Drosophila melanogaster: one gene and its partner. The protein of the gene in region 1 interacts with the protein of each later gene in a pairwise test. Each region holds a gene or a part of one and is shown on either strand. Other genes may lie near its edges. The genes, in order: dnk and CG9933.

What was found.
Region 2: the proteins of dnk (region 1) and CG9933 interact in a two-hybrid assay, tested with the Drosophila melanogaster proteins (one large-scale study listed by BioGRID).

What each region holds. Positions count from the first base shown.
Region 1 is NT_033777.3:18,979,001-18,983,249, forward strand, and holds dnk (deoxyribonucleoside kinase), read left to right. Parts: upstream 1-1,994; 5' UTR 1,995-2,194; intron 2,195-2,256; exon of another isoform or gene 2,257-2,324; intron 2,325-2,423; exon of another isoform or gene 2,424-2,551; 5' UTR 2,552-2,571; coding exon 2,572-2,903; intron 2,904-2,979; coding exon 2,980-3,250; intron 3,251-3,307; coding exon 3,308-3,457; 3' UTR 3,458-3,749; downstream 3,750-4,249. Other genes in the region: Smu1 spliceosomal factor, read right to left, coding at 63-161, 224-1,302, 1,370-1,628, 1,685-1,751, 1,820-1,845; snRNP-U1-C (small ribonucleoprotein particle U1 subunit C), read right to left, coding at 4,103-4,249. UniProt on the Drosophila melanogaster protein: Deoxyribonucleoside kinase that has a broad specificity phosphorylating thymidine, 2'-deoxyriboadenosine, 2'-deoxyribocytidine and 2'-deoxyriboguanosine. Specificity is higher for pyrimidine nucleosides.
Region 2 is NT_033779.5:13,019,031-13,023,430, reverse strand, and holds CG9933 (uncharacterized protein), read left to right. Parts: upstream 1-2,118; 5' UTR 2,119-2,252; coding exon 2,253-3,200; intron 3,201-3,504; coding exon 3,505-3,633; intron 3,634-3,701; coding exon 3,702-3,755; 3' UTR 3,756-3,856; downstream 3,857-4,400. Other genes in the region: CG9932 (uncharacterized protein), read left to right, coding at 1-108.

The DNA of each region.
Region 1 (4,249 bases):
GCAGCTCAAATAAGACCACCAACTAAAACTAACTAGGTGTGAAAGTCAATTGCTTATATGGTCTAAGGCTTCCAAAGCTTCAGCAGGCCGTCCTCACTGTAGCTGGCCAGTAGATTTTGATGCGGATGATGTGTCAGGCCAATGACGTCCTTTTCATGAACCTATGGAATAAATATCACGTTTAAAGTCAGTTTGAAAACAAATAGTTTAAAGAGCAGCTTACGTTCAAAGTACGTTCAAGTTTACCGGAGGAGACGGAGAAACAGTAAAGCACCTGATCCTCTCCAGCGCAGTATATGAACTCTCCTCGCGGCGAAAGAGTGGCTGAGATAAAGGCACCGCCCTCGCGCTTACCCGACGAGAAGGATCGCACAATCTGGCCCTGCATGTTCATAATGACAACCGTATTGGATCTGTTGCAGACAATGAAGTGTTCGGGATTCTTGGGCAGAATGAGGACTGTGTTTACGGCCAACTCGTTGCCAAGGGGCTTGTACGTGGCCACGCACTCGGTCGTTTTAAGGGACCAAACCTTTACTGTGCCGTCGGAAGATGCGCTGAGCACGCTGTGTCCGTCAGGCGTAAAGGTGGCTTCGTTCACAAAGGAGGAATGCCCCTTGAACTCCTTCAGCATCTTTCCCGACTTCAGCCCGTGCAGTCTCACCGTGTAGTCGAAGGATGCGCTGAGTACCTGGCTGTTATCTCGCGAGAACTGCAGACAGGTTATTCCCTTGGTGTGGGCTTTCTCGAATTTACGCAAACACTGACCGGTGATGATGCGCCACACCTTGATTTGGCCATCCTGTGCGCCCGATGCCACCATCTCGGAATCTCGTGAGAAGTTCAACGCCAGCACCGCCTGTTCCATCATCATGAACTGGTCCTGCGCCTGGTACTTCAGATCCTTTCTCACCTTGCCGGTGGTAAAGTTCCACACCTCAAGGAAACCGTCCACACTGCCCGTTATCAGATACTGACCATCCGGCGAGAACTGAGCGCACTCAACGTGCGACTTTTGGCCAAATTTGATTTGTCGGAACAGCTGGGTGGGATACATTTCTTCTTCCTGGTCCTTCATCGCCGCCTTGCCGCGGAACAAATCAATGGTGGTGCCGGGCGGAAGGAGTCCCTGGTGCTGTTGCCATTTAAGAGCCTGTCCCAGGAGTGCCAAGAGCCTGGAGGAGGGCACCACATGCACCTCGCCACTTAGCTCTTGGGCAATGACCGTGCGCCGCTTTTCCTTGCTACTTCCCTCTGCATAGGCTTCCCTGGGATCGAAGTAAGCGCGCTGCAGCATGTTTTCTACAGACAAATATACCAATTAGGAATCACGAACTCTAGTGAAACCTTAGAATGGCTTATATTTTACCCAAATGGATGTATCGTTCGGGCTCCTGCTGCTTCAACATGGTCATGGGATCCGTCTGGCGGAGCAGAGATCTTGCTGCGCCCAGTTCTCTGAGCTCGATCAGCTCCAAGACTATTTGCTCGTATAGATTGAGCAGCTTCTTATCCGGTAATTTGAGAGACTGGGTCACTTTTAGCACGGTGTCCCAGTGCCCGTTGGAGATATCCTGCACAAAGCCATCCACGCTGTCCACCGTATTCAGGGAGACACCCGTTTCCTCCTGAAAGTTTAAGATCATTGAAAGACAAACTCTCTCCGCGGTGTGTAAGTACTAACCTGTAACGTTTGCAGGGTCTTCATAAGGTTGGACTCCTTCAGATACTGCTGGATGAGCCGAATCACACTTTGTTTGGGGGGGAAATCACGGATCTAGTAAAAACTGAGTGGTGTTGGTCGATTTACAGTACTTACTCCGCTGATTCGATTTCTATGGACATCGTAAACTAATTTCCCGGTTTAAGATTCCTTTTAAAAATAAGTTTTAATACAGGTTTATAAAAATGTACAATAATATTGATAAAAAATGCGTCGTCGTAGGGATGGCGAAAAACAGATACTATGCACAGAACAGCTGACCGTTATCGTTATCGCCGACAGCTGATTCTCAGTATAGGCAAAAAGAAAATTCATTTCACAACGTTAAATAAAATAAATAAGAGGCCATAAAAGTTGTGAGCAATAAATGTTTAATTTTATTGCTATCAGTGGTATTTGTATTTAATAAATTTGTAAAAACAGCAATGTCCAGCAAGCACATGTGGCAGAAAAACATTATATCATTAATAGGTAATTCAACCAGCATTGGCTTAAACTTTAAGTTTTTGTAAAGATGTATGTAAAAACATTACCGGCAATAGAATAGACACACACACACACACACACACAGTTACCGATCAGCCGGTTGACAAAAACAAGCATAACGATAGGTAACACCGATTAAAAAAAAAAGAAACAAATGGCGATGTTCCCGCTCTTTTTGTTTTTCGGCGGTAAACGATCTGACCAGGCGGGTTGAATCAGTCACCATATTCCCGCCGCCGTGTACAGTACTCCATCGAATCCGGAACAATCAACTTCAACCGCGATCCGTTGCTGCTGTGCTGTACCTAAAACAGTTAGTAAAACTCCCAATCTCACGTGCAGATCGCCGATTATCCGGACTGATGGCGGAGGCAGCATCCTGTGCCCGAAAGGGGACCAAGTACGCCGAGGGCACCCAGCCCTTCACCGTCCTCATCGAGGGCAACATCGGCAGCGGGAAGACCACGTATTTGAACCACTTCGAGAAGTACAAGAACGACATTTGCCTGCTGACCGAGCCCGTCGAGAAGTGGCGCAACGTCAACGGGGTAAATCTGCTGGAGCTGATGTACAAAGATCCCAAGAAGTGGGCCATGCCCTTTCAGAGTTATGTCACGCTGACCATGCTGCAGTCGCACACCGCCCCAACCAACAAGAAGCTAAAAATAATGGAGCGCTCCATTTTTAGCGCTCGGTGAGTGCATTATTCCCGTCGTCCGGTTTGACCAGAAACGCTAAACGAAACTTATCCATTACCCATCGCGCCGCAGCTATTGCTTCGTGGAGAACATGCGACGAAACGGCTCGCTGGAGCAGGGCATGTACAATACGCTGGAGGAGTGGTACAAGTTCATCGAAGAGTCCATTCACGTGCAGGCGGACCTCATCATATATCTGCGCACCTCGCCGGAGGTGGCGTACGAACGCATCCGGCAGCGGGCTCGTTCTGAGGAGAGCTGCGTGCCGCTTAAGTACCTTCAGGAGCTGCATGAGTTGCACGAGGACTGGTTGATACACCAGAGACGACCGCAGTCGTGCAAGGTAGTTTCTACACAAGCTCACATCTACCGAAGCCGCTAAATATGCATTTTTCCTCAGGTCCTAGTCCTCGATGCCGATCTGAACCTGGAAAACATTGGCACCGAGTACCAGCGCTCGGAGAGCAGCATATTCGACGCCATCTCAAGTAACCAACAGCCCTCGCCGGTTCTGGTGTCGCCCAGCAAGCGCCAGAGGGTCGCCAGATAACCATTATCCCATTAGTACCTAATTGTGTGTAGTACAGACGTTTAAAATAATATTATAAGAGGCCTAGACGAGCCGATTCGCGGGACAAAGGCAGAAACTTACACTTCGAGCCAATGATTAACACATTCGTATATTAACAATTATAATCCACATTATATTCTCTTCACAGCAACTAGTATGTAAGCTCAAAATATTGTAATAAAAACTGTGAATGTTTATGTTAAAGGCAAGGCACCTACTATTTTTGTGTTAGCATTTCAGTTCACTTGCATTTTAACTATATTGTGTTGGACAATGAAATCATTAAATGCCTTCTCTAGCATTGATTTTTGTTATCTTTTTCTGAAGCGGGGTTTTTTAAAGTCATAATAATGTGTGCACCGTAAAAGCGGCGTGATCTTATGCCTGCTGAACTCTAATGTGACTGCATGCGCTTCTCATTACTGACCTAAATATATATACTTTATTTCTCTATTGACTTCCACCCACAAAGACAACCATTTGTTGAGTCAACTTGCTTTATATAAATGTATATAATTAATTGTTTTCGCTATCGGGCTTACTTAAATGCTACAGCTTAATTAGGACATCGCAAGGAGAGCACTCCATCTGTGCTGTGAACGTTGATGCCGTTCCTGAGGGCGTTCACTTGGGTCCGTTCATGATTCCTGGACGGACGCCGGGTATAGTGCCCAGTGGAGGCGGTGGTCCCATCATGGCCATGGGATTCATAATCGGTGGCGGACGCATGCCCATCATGGGGTTCATCAGTGGAGGCATATAGGGCATTCC
Region 2 (4,400 bases), on another chromosome or scaffold:
AACCAGTCGGAGGACGCCACTTCCACCTCCGGCCAGGAGCGACCCGCAACACCGGAAAAAATGATACTGGTCAATGCCCAGACGGGCAAAGTCATTTCCAGAAAGTAGGCCACATCCAAGGGTCGAACCTTTTATTTAATTTAATCCATAATTTATCCAACTAAGCTTATGGTTATTTTTCGATTTAAGTGAGTTTTGGTTTTGTTAATATTTTGTTGTTGCTTATGCTTTTCCATATTTTTTTTTGGGTATGCGTTAGTGGAGTTGGGGATTCGTTTTAGGCACCTGTTTTGGGATTTCTATTGTCACTAACACACACCCACTTATACACACCTAGTTGGAACATGTTCCTGCACTTTTACGTTTTTTCTAGAACCTAAGGTAATTAAGTAACGATAATTTATAAACAAAAAAGGAATGAAATACCATTATTCGAATACTTTGCAAATGGGATAAGCCGGAATTCTTAATGTAATTACTTGCTAGAACGGTGCAAAATGTAATTTAAACTAATCGTATTGTAACTTATCAAAGAGATAACTATAGAAGGCATTTTAATATAGAACCTATATATATATATTTACCATCGGCTTAATATATTAAATTGGAAAACCAACCCAATCCGAGCAAGATCCAAAAGCGTTTCAAGGAAATCAACTTTGTACAGGAGAAAAAGAGATAAATTCAAAATTATGTCTTGCTACAAATAATTCGTTTAATTTTTCGAATGGGAACTGTGATTATTGATAATTGTAAATGCAAAAAAAAAAAGAAATAAGAAAGTGAGCGCGTATATCATGCAATGAATATGGTACTATATACATACTATATAAATCTATACATATATATATATTTACACACAGCTGCTGCAAAAATAAAAACTATAGAAACAAAAAGAAACACATTTAAAATGCAATTGAAAAATCAACAGAGAATAGGGAATTTTTTGCAATATTTGCAATATTATTTTGTACAAGTGCAGCACACATTTAAAATTAGTTAATAGTAATTAGTTTCTACTACGGATTAGTTATGTTCTCATCATTAGTGCGAATGTTTTCCAGCAAACGGCGTCTTTGTAGCACAGTGTAGGCGTTAACACTACAAACAAAATGTTATCATTAAACTATAAGCAAACAAAAAGAACACATGTGGAATAGCGGGGCCATATTTAAATAGTTTAAACTTAATGCAAGGAAACATTTGAAAACAAAGCAAATCAAAACCAGAAGATATAGCGCAAACAAGCGATATGTATACAGAATCTAACTTGGATATAAATGCAAACCGCCTTTGATATGCATATATACATCTTATATCGATACGAATATCTATACACACAATATATTATATATTAAATAGTCCTTAACATTGAACTACATTTAAACTTAAAGCTAGTGTAAATAACTTAGTTTTGTTTACTGCGCACACAACCACACGCAACACTTACACACACCACACAAACACACAATAAGATTTACGGCATTGAATTACAAAAGAGAAAATGTACAAAAACAATTGTTAATAAAGAAATCAAATAAAAACAACACAAGTTGCATTTACAATTGACCGATTATCTGTATGTTTGGTACTTCTATTTAAAAAAGAAATCGAATAATTGGGTTCAGATCTAAACGCCAAAAGTAGTTTCTAAAAATTCAAATCATAATGCAAAATAGTTCATTGACTTCTATTAAATTGAAAGCACTTCAACATTTTTCTTTTTTCTTTACTGAAATCAAACATCAAAATCAAGCATTCTTTTTTAACGGAATTTTAATTTGAAAGGTAGCCTGCGTAACGGTATAGCGGTATATCAATTTAAAAGTGACTTTCAAGATACGGCAACTCTGTGAAACGATTGAATGTGGAACAAAAGATTATTTTACTCTTTTTCTTTTAATTAAAGAAAAAATAATAATAATCAAAAAGGGATATGCAATGCTATTCCAGATTACTCTTACTGAGATACTTAAATAATAACTCTCCAAATAATCAAAAGAGCCAAAGAAAATATAAAATCATATATACTATTTAGCTCCCTGTTGCAATTCCAATCGTTTCACAATCGCTGCCAAGTCAGCTACGCAAATTTGAGGGTATATTTCATAGTTGTCGGTACGGTAACACTGAGAAAGCCGTTTTGTTGAAAGATTACAAATGAATTGCGATGCATTTAGCTAAAATTGAACTTTAGCAGAGCCGCAAAACGATAGAGAGCCAACGCAGAGAACACGGAGCCACCCAAACACATGGATACCAAGTCCAATGATGACTCGGCTGGCAGTGACTCGCTGGACAAATCTATGCAAATCAAGTGTGTGATGGTGGAGACAACGACGACGGGCGACGGAGACTCCACAGTCGGAGATCTGGACAACTGCAGCAGGGATTCCGCTGCGGAATCGATTAACAAGGAATCCGGTTCGATGGAGGGAGCCGGCAAGCAGACGGATCACAAGACTGAAGCTGCGGCGGGGTCGTGCGGCGAGGGCGACAGTCCGCAGAGCAGTCAATCCCCACCAGAACATCCGGCCAGCAAATCGCCCACATCTCCATGCACTGCCTTCGAGACGAAAGTCAAGCTTATATCACAGAACCTCAAGGAAACCACGCTGGCGGAGAGCACCGGCGCCTCCGTATCAGCATCCACATCCACATCAACACCCACGTCCGCCTCTAGTAGCATCAGCGGCAGCATGCTGGAGTCGCAGCAGACACCCAGCCAGTCCACCCCCGAAACAACAGATTCCGCCTCGTCGTCCGTGCGCGTGAAGAAGGTACGCTTCCATCCGGACGTCAAGGAAAACGACGGCGGGAACTGGATGAAAAGAAAGCGACGCTCCATGCATACCAAACGAACCTCCTCGCCCAGCGGCGCTAACTGTGATGGCATGGAGCTGGACGGTGAGTACGAGGACAACGATGACGATGAGCAGGAGGAGGCGGAGGAGGAGTTCGATCTGGCCAAGACAATCGCCGAGGCGGAGGATTACCTCAAGCAGCACCCGTTGACATACGTGCAGCGCGTCGAACAGAACGGCGAGCGGCTGCAGGATGGACTGCTCAGCATCGAGGATATGCTAAACGAAGTCGGCGAGGAGGTGGTCACCGAGTACAACGACGAGGACTTCTTCAGACGCATCAAGCCCGAGAATGGCATTGAACGCATTCTGGGCAAGGAGACCAAGGCGGGAAAGGTACGTTTGCAATACGAAAGCAATAAACTATCAGTACGGTTTAGGGTTCACAAATTTTCTATGAATTCGATTACAGTTTCATTTACAACACATTGTTGGTTTATTCATATCATATTTAGTAAACAAAAATTCTAAGCTGGAAAAGGTTTGCTATATGACTTTTGCTTTTACAAAATAAATAAGCCAAAGATCAGCTTTCTTTACTTTGTAAAGCGAAGGAAAACTTTTAAACAGTCTGAATCTTATGTAGTTTGCCCTCTATCCCAATTGTAGGTATCATTTAATAACCTTAATATCCTTGCAGGTTGAATTCCTTCTGCGCTACGAGAACCAAGGCGGACTCTTCTGGCAATCGGAGGAGTTCATCAAGCGCACGTGCCCCTCGCTGCTCAAGGCCTACGAAATGAATCGAGAACGACGTCAGCAGCGCTTGGTTAGTCCTTATCCTAATTAAAACCACATATAATGCCAGTTTGTAATTCAAATGCTTGTGTTTTGCAGATGCATCACGTTGCCAAAAGGCAGAGTCTGCGACAGCGATACACGGATTTCTAGTAGCGGTTACTTAGGTATTAGGTTCATAATTAGGTTCCACATAATTGTAACATTTTTGTAAAATGAAGTAAATGATTTTCTTTTGTTGAACAAAAATAACTAAACAACACTTGCTTTTCATTATGTGTCATGAGGAATATAACCATTTTGGTAGGCCTAATTTTTGATTTCCCATCGTTAATCAGTTCGCACCTAGTAATTCAGCGATATTTAAATATTTTCAAACGACAAACAAACAATAGTTTCAGATATTTTCAAACTAGTTCTCTTAGAGCAAAAAGGATATATAAATTGGGTATAGATGCTTAGAGAACATTATTGCAATTAAAGGCAAAAACAAAAGTGCAAATTTAAAATTACAAATAGTATTCAAATGATTCACAACTTTTCGGATGTTTAACGAAATTTTAAATTCGATAATGAAATCATAAAAATATGAGGGCCCTGCAAGGGTTAAAGCAACTATCGGCGAACATTCCATCTTTAAGTGTGACCACGCCGCGGCCAGTGTGACTGTCGGCCACCAGACCAAACTGAAACACTGTTCGTCGACTGACGCGAAACCCAAAAATTATAAGTAATTCAATTGGAGGAAAGTTCGGAGGTCTGTATTTCTTGAGCCCATCGCCTGGCCAGTGAAGCATT